Linked DNA regions of Mus musculus: region 1 is reported to be linked to region 2. The links are microRNA targets in miRTarBase. Many come from high-throughput screens and were not tested one by one. Region 2 holds a microRNA gene; the other region holds the end of a gene's coding sequence.
Evidence for each region. The annotated mature microRNA mmu-miR-466e-3p reads UAUACAUACACGCACACAUAAGA and lies in region 2 at 2,755-2,777, shown strand. An mRNA with a match to its seed (bases 2 to 7 or 8) in the 3' UTR can be bound and repressed. Matches are read on the target gene's strand: a 7mer-m8 pairs with bases 2 to 8, a 7mer-A1 pairs with bases 2 to 7 and ends in A, and an 8mer does both.

Region 1 (4,062 bases), not on the chromosome of region 2:
CCACACTCCTTTCCCGAGAGTCTAGGAACTAAAATGAAGTGAGAAGAGAGATTCACTGCCCAGCGCCAGGCACACACCCAGAGTCTGAGCTCTTGGGCGGCTGAGGCCAAGGGAACAAAAGCTGAGGGCCAGCCTGGCTGCATTGCAAGACCTTGTCTCTAAAAAGAAAGGAAAAAAAGTTGAGACTTCTCTGTCTGGGAAGCAGGTAAGTCAGTGGCCCGGGGCTGGCAGGCAGTGATGCCCTGAAGGACCAGAGCCAGTTGCCCGAGCCAGCACCTGGGTCCTGAGCTTGGGCCCCACCAACGGTCTTGCTTTGTCTCTCCAGGCCTGGTCCAGATCCCTGTGAGCATGTACCAGACTGTGGTAACCAGCCTCGCCCAGGGCAACGGGCCGGTGCAGGTGGCCATGGCCCCAGTGACCACCAGGATATCGGACAGCGCAGTCACCATGGATGGCCAGGCTGTGGAGGTGGTGACCTTGGAACAGTAGCATGGAGCTCTATCATGGCAGCGTTTTCTAGTCTACTGCAGAATTTTTTACATGTTTGCAGAGGTGCAATCAAATGGAATTAAGTCTCTCGACTTGGAAAGAAAGTTTTGGTAACCTTTTTTTAAGAAGGAAGAAAGGCAGCAGATTTTGGAATCACACTTTTTTAAAGCACCACTCTGGGATCTGGTGGAATGAACGCCACCGATTTCACTGTCCCAAAAAGCCAAATTGTGGCCAGACTTCTTTGTGCAGAAATGTGTGTATACTTACGTGTGTGTACGTGTGAGTGTGAATATATGTATATGTGTACATATGGACATACACATTTACATATATGTATAAAGTATATATGTACATACATACATATGTATGAAACCTGCATGGAATTACCTGTATGAAATCAAGGTGAACTGTGGGAACAAGAACCCACCCAGATTCGTGGGTGGTAGGGTACATGACCAAACACAGTCACCTGGTTTTCGTTCATACCAGGGTCATGCATTGAGCTACTGACAGACTCAGGCGGAGGTGACCACGTCCTTCACCAAAGCTGCCTCCCAGTGGCCGCCTAGACCTCTGCTAGATTCACCGAAGGAAGGAAGATCCAGGACACAGCGTGGTCCAGAGAGTGCTTGTGAAGTCCAGGGACAGAGAGTGCGTGCGCACATGTGCGCTTTGCCAGCAGAGACACACGGCAGCTGGCCCAGGTGCTGACCTTGCCACAGGCAGGTAAACGCCCTGCAGGCTCCTGGCAGGGGCAAGAAATCGTTCCTCAGCCTCCATCTTCTCCCTTCCCAGGAACCCTCAGTCTCACGACTATTCAAGAGTTGCTTGGTTGTAAGGTCAGTCCTGTTACAAACTGAAGGTGACAGAAGTGTTAAGGGTCTGAGGAGTGTTCATGGAGCAGGCGGGTGTAAGTGCAGGGTGTGTGTGTGTGTGTGTGTGTGTGTGTATGAGTAATGGAGAAAATGGGAAGATTATAGGAGAGCAAAATAGGAAGGAGGGAGAAAACTCTTCATAAATCAGGGTGCGCCGTGGGAACCGTGTTCTCCAGCTGTCTGCAGCTGTATTTCAGCAGAGGAGACTGCCTCACACAGGACCTCTGCGCAAAGGCTGGCCGTCACAGATGTGTCAGAAGACTCTGTGAGGACTTTTCCCAGGCACATCCTGGCGGCACAGGCCTGGGACAGCTTTCCTGCTCACAGTGTGGCTTGCACTGAGCAGTCATTGTCACTGTGAGCTTCTGTGCTTTCCAGCCACAAGCCCTGAGTCTCCCGTGGCTCATTCATCTGATGTCTTGACAAGCCAAATCTCCACTCCTGGCGTGCAGGGACTCTTCCTCCTTCCTGCCAGCCCTCTCCCGTGCGTGATAGTGTATTTAATGTGGTGTTTTTGGTTTTTTGTTTTTTAATGAGACATTAAAAGATTCTTCATGTCTTGCTCAGCCTTTGAGAAAAGTTTCCAATTCTTATATTTGCTTGTTTTATATAAAACTATTCAATGTTCTTTGTATGTTCTTTTCTGTATGTGATAAGGGAGGGGTGGGAAATTTGCATATCAATGTCCTGGTTCTACAATTGGTTACTTTTTTTTTTTTTTTAAACTGTGAAGCTGTCCAGGGGCTTTAAGGCCCGTGTTCCTTTGTGGTGAAATAAGCCTCCCGATAGTTTGAGAAATTGCCAAGAAGATAAAAGCAAGATCCCAGCAGCAGAGCATGGAATCTGTGTTGTTCTCCATTCTGTCTAAACTGCCTCATTCAATAAATAGTTTAATGTGGCGACAAAAAGTGCCCCTCTCTCTAGCAGCCTTGGCCACTTGGGCTACAGGGCTCTTTTGGGGTGTGGCTCATTGTCCTTTACAAAAGACATGCACTAGAGGTCTCTAGCCTGGACCACGCTCTAGGAACTCCAGGAGGGAGGAGACCTGTCCGCTCCCGAGTGCTGGGTGAGCCCACCAGGCCTGAGGATGTCTGTCTTCTGTATACCAGGTCTCTGGAACAGTCGCACTTCAGAAAGCCTCAAGGTGGTCTGAAGGTTCTACTCTGAAATCTGTTTTAGGTGTTTATTTGGCACCATATTAAAAGACCTTGGTGACCCCTGCATCTTAAAAGGGCTTCCCAAGTGAGTGAGTGAGTGTGTTTGATGCAGGAAATGTCTTCAGAGCAGAAGGTCCAAGCCCTGTGTTGCTATCTGCATCCTTGTTTCTTGGTTTCACACACACCACACTCACTGTTTTAATGTGTGTGTCACAGCTGGATCCCACCACGCCCTAACTCGGGCCCTTCCCACGGCCTCTATGTCTCCTCAAGAGCTGTGCCTCATCTTCCCCTTGAGTGCCTTTCTCTGCCATTTTTGTTTGTAGATGTCTCCGGCTGATGGGATTATAGTCATCGAATGAGGATGCGGTTTCCCTTGGGGCTTAGCCTTGGCTCAGTACTGTCAAGTACCAGCTTCTATCCCTTTTTATATAGATGGTACACCGCCATCCACGTTCACCAGGGAGGATGTGCCAGGAAGGAATGACTGCGGCTGCGCAGAGCACAGCTTCTCTAGAGACCCTCCTACTCAGCCTTCCCGGGATGCTTGCTGCTAGCTCCCTTGGTTTACAAGCCAAACCCAGACCGTGCCTTCCCAAGAGCTCGTGAGCTGTGGCTCCCGAGGGGCTGGCGCATGGCTTCTCTGTCACTTCTCCCCAAGCAGCTGACCAGGGAGAGCCACCTAAGTCCAGTGAGTAAGAGACGCAGTGGGGTAGAGGTGGGCATGAGACAAAGTGGCAAACAGCTGTCTGACGGGCACCTTTCCCAAAGACAAATGGGCTTTGCTGCCTTCAAAATTCCCAGCAAATGGGAGAAGTCAGGTTTTTATATGAAATCTGATTTTATTAGCAGCATAAAACATCCAGGCATACCAAACTATCTTGTCAGATGGATCTGACCTGAGGGTCTATTACGTTAGATTCATGAATATTAGCATGTCCCAGGTAAATAAAGTTTGGCATGGTCCTGTGCGGTGGCTTGGCAGGCAAAAAGCCTGATGACCAGAGTTGAATTCCTGAAGCTCACACAGGATGGAACTGATTCTCTGGGGTTGTCCTCTGACCTCCTCTACATATGTGACGAGACACTTGTACACGTGCACATATGCATACAAGCACAAATGAATAGATGTTTTTTTAAAACTTGGCAGTTCTCCGAGAAGGAAGAGTGGGGCTAGGACTTTAGCTCAGGGACAGAGCACTCCCCCGGCATGCACATGTGAAAGAGAAGACCATGGACAGGTCCTTACAGCTCCGTGTGCTGAGGCCTGCTAGGGTCGGAGCAGTATAAGTGTGGTAGATACAAGGATCCACCATGTAGCTCACCACCGGATTCACAGAAGCCTGCCAGTCTAGGAATGCTTGGTGACCTTGCAGCTCAAGGTGTCCCCTGGTGGTGCTGTGACTCCTGGAGTCACCTACACTCCCATGACCAAGCTAAGGAGATCTCTGGAAGAATAGCTCAGGCACAACCCAGGGTAGGTGGGTGCCTATCAAGAAGAAACCCAGCTTCATTGTAGAGCAGGGTCCATCCCCATA
Region 2 (4,068 bases):
GGCCAGTGTCAATTCTCACACACCTGGTGAAAACCCTTGTTAGAGTCAGGAGGTATAGGAGTTGAAAATCATGCTTAACTTCATGAGGAGTAAGAGATCATCCTGGATTCATGTGATGCCCCCTATATATGTGCATGTGTGTATACTTGTGTGTGCATGTATATGTGTCTATATGAATATACATATACATACACACCCATATACACACGCATGCACGGAAACACAAAAACATAAACATAAACACAGGAATGGCACTCATTGATCCATTTGAATGATATGTGACTTAGAGTCTTATAGATTATGCAGTAGTGTGTCAATGAACGGTCTCACTCACCAGGTGAAAGTTGTTGACAGAGTCAGGAGGATCAGGAGTTCATATTCATGCTCAATTTCAGTTAGTGATCATCCAGACATTCATGTTATGCCCCTCATGTATGTGCATGTGTGTTTACGTGTGTGTGCATGTGCATGTGTGTATATGAATATATGTATACATACACACACACATACACACGCACGCAACACACACACACACACACACACACGACACTCATTTATTCATTTGAATGATATGTGACTTAGAGTTTTAGAGATTATGTAGTACTGGGCCAGTGAGTGCTCTCACTCACAAGGTGGAAATCTTGCCAGAGTCAGGAGGATCAGGAGTCGAAATTCATTCTCAACTTCATGTTGAGTCCGGGATCAGCTTCTGATTCATGTGATGCCCCCAGTGTATGTGCCTGTGTGTATATGTATGTGTGCATGTGCATGTGTGTATATGAGTATACATATACATACGCACATACCCATACAAGCATGCACACAAACCCAAAACTGCCACTCATCGATCTATTTGAATGATATGTGTCTTAGAGTCTTAGAGATTCTGTATGACTGGGCCAGGGAGAGGATTCACTCACCAAGTAAAGACCCTTGCCAGAGTCAAGATAATCAGGAGTTCAAGGTCATGGTAAAGGCATGATGAGTTAGAGGTCATCCTGGCATTCATGTGATTGCCCCTATGTATGTGTGTATGTGTTGATGTGTGTGTACATGTACATGTGTGAATATGATATACATACATGCACACATAAGACACATATGAGCACATAGACACACAGGAATGGCACTCACTCATCAATCTATGTGACTGAGAGCTTTGGAGATTATGTGTGACTAGGTCAGGGAGAGTTATCACCCATCATATTAAAAATGCTTGTTAGAATCAGGAGGTCAGGAGGTCAAATTCATGCTTTATTTCATGATGACTTAGAAATCTGCCTGGGATTCATGTGATGCCCCCATGTATGTGTACATGCGTGTACCTGTGTGTGGATTGTGTATATGAATATACATATCTACACACGCATAGACATGTACACAGACACACAAACATGAATGCAACTCATCGATCCATTTGAATGACGTGTGACTAAGAGTTTTAAGATTCTGCAGTACTGAATAGGGAGAGGTCTCACTCAGCAGGTGAAATCCCTTGCCAGAGTCAGGTGGTCCTGGAGTACAAATTCATGTTTAACTTCATGATGAGTTAGAGTTCAGCATGCGACTCATGTGATGTCCATCAAGAATGTGCATGTGTGTATAGTTGTGTGCATATTCACTTCTCTATATGAATATGCATATACACGCATGCACGCACAGGAATGCCACTCATATATCCTTTTGAATGGTATGTGACTTAGAGCTTTAGAGCTTATGCAGTACTGGGCCAGAGCTATGGCTCAGTTAGGAGGTGAGTACTCTTGCCAGAGTCAGGAGGATGAGGAGTTCAAAATCATATTTAATTCATGATGAGTAGAGATCAGCATGCGATTCATGTGATGCCCTCCAAGAATGTGCATGTGTGTATAGCTGTGTGCATATTCACTTCTCTACATGAATATGCACATAGCTGTATGCACACATACTCACAGGAATGGCCAGAACTATGTCTCAGTTAGGAGGTGAATATTGTTGCCAGAGGGAGGAGAATATGGAGTTCAAATTCATGTTTAACTTCATGATGAGTTAGAGAACAGCCTGGAATTTCTGTGATTGTCCCCGTGTATGTGTATATGTGTATAGGTACGTGTGCATGTAAATGTGGGTATATGAACATGCATATATATATATATATATATATGTGTATATATATATATATATATACATACATACATACACATATACACACACATATGGACACATACATGTGCACACAAACACACATGGTAGTCATCCATTTGATTTATGCATGCTTAGAGTTTCATTGAGTGTATATTCATGGGATAGCAAAACATCTCACTTACCAGATGAAAACTGCTTGCCAGAGTTAGGAGTCTCAGGAGTGCAAATTCATGCTTAACTTCATGAGCAGTTAGAGATCATCCTGGAATAATGTGATGGCCCCTATGCATGTGCCTTTGTGCATAAGTGCGTGCATGTATATGTGTGTATATTTTATGCATATACATACACACACCTATACACACATGCACACAGACATGCGAGAATGGCCCTCACGGATCCATTTGAATGATATGTGACCTACTGCTTTGGAGGTTATGTATGACTGGGCCAGGGTGAGGTCTCACAAACCACGGGAAAACCCTTGGTAGAGTCGGGAAGATCAGGAGTGCAAGTTCATGGTAAAGGCATGATGAGTTAGAGGTCATCCTGGCATTCATGTGATTGCCCCTATGAATGTGTGTATGTGTTGATGTGTGTGTACATGTACATGTGTGAATATGATATACATATACATACACGCACACATAAGACACATATGAGCACACAGACACATGGGAATGGCACTCATCAATCCATTTGAGTGATAAGTGACTTAGAGTGAAAATGCTTGCTAGAGTTAAGAGTATCAGGAGTTCAAATTCATACTTATCCTCATGAGAGATCAGCCTGTGATTCCTCCATGTATGTGCATGTGTGTATAGTTGTGTGTGCATGTTCATGTCTATATTTGAATATACATAACATACACACACATGTATAAACGCAAGCACACATACACAGACACAGGAATGGCATTCGCCAATCCCTTTGAATGATAAGTGATGTAGAGTTTTAGAGATTATGCAATAGGGGACATTGAATGGACTCACTCACCAGGTGTAAAAGATTGACAAAGTCAGGAGGATAAGGATTGCAACTTCATGCTTAACTTCATTTGGAGATTATCTTGGTATTCATGTGATGCCACCCATGTATGTGCATGTGTGCTTACTTGTATGTGCATTGCATGTGTTGACATGAATATACATAACAAAAACACACGTGTATATGCAAGCACATACACACAGGAAAAATTGCATTCATTTATACATTTGAATGATATGTGACTTAAAGTTTTCAAGATTATGCAGTAGTGGGACAGTGAATGGTTTTACTCACCAGGTGTGAAAGACTGTGGATCAGGAGTTCAAATTCATGCTTTACTTCATGATGACTTAGAGATATGCCTGGGATTCATGTGATGCCCCCTATGTATCCCTATCTGTATCTGTTTCTATTGTGTGTGGATTTGAGTATATGGCTGTACCTATCTACACAAATATATACATGTACACAGACACAAACAGAAACACACACACAAACATCAGTGCAACTCATCGATCCATTTGAATGACGTGTGACTTAGAGTTTTAAGATTCCTCAGTACTGAATGGGGAGAGGTCTCACTCAGCAGGAGAAATCCCTTGACAGAGTCAGTTGGATCAGGAGTTCAAATTTGTGCTGAATTTCATGATGAGTTCATGACCAGCATGGGATTCATCTTATGCCCACCAAAAATGTGCATGTGTGTATAGTTGTGTGCATATTCACTTCTCTATATGAATATGCATATACACGCATGCAAACACATTCATAGGAATGGCCAGAGCTATATCTCAGTTAGGAGGTGAGCACTCTTGCCAGAGCTAGGAAGATGAGGAGTTCAAATTCATGTTTAACTTCTTGATGTGTTAGAGTTCAGCATGCGATTCATGTGATACCCACCAAGATTTTGCATGTGTGTATAGTTGTGTACATATTTACTTCTGTACATAAATATGC

Region 1: miRTarBase lists Nrf1 as a target of mmu-miR-466e-3p. Seed matches in the 3' UTR shown: 8mer at 785-792, 8mer at 823-830 and 7mer-m8 at 854-860.

Annotation. Positions count from the first base shown.
Region 1 is chr6:30,151,189-30,155,250 of GRCm38, forward strand. It overlaps Nrf1 (nuclear respiratory factor 1), which reads left to right. Exons shown (of 12, transcript NM_001164226.1): 12 at 326-2,270. The coding sequence ends at 489. Among named protein-coding and RNA genes, the nearest start is that of Mir182, 13 kb to the right of the region's middle.
Region 2 is chr2:10,471,514-10,475,581 of GRCm38, forward strand. It overlaps Mir466b-1 (microRNA 466b-1), which reads left to right and starts at 2,706; the gene lies at 2,706-2,787. The region is part of intron 10 of Sfmbt2 (Scm-like with four mbt domains 2); the gene reads left to right. Mir669d-2 (microRNA 669d-2) reads left to right here and starts at 131; the gene lies at 131-216. Mir466f-3 (microRNA 466f-3) reads left to right here and starts at 440; the gene lies at 440-533. It also overlaps Mir297a-2, Mir466o, Mir467c, Mir669a-3 and Mir669k.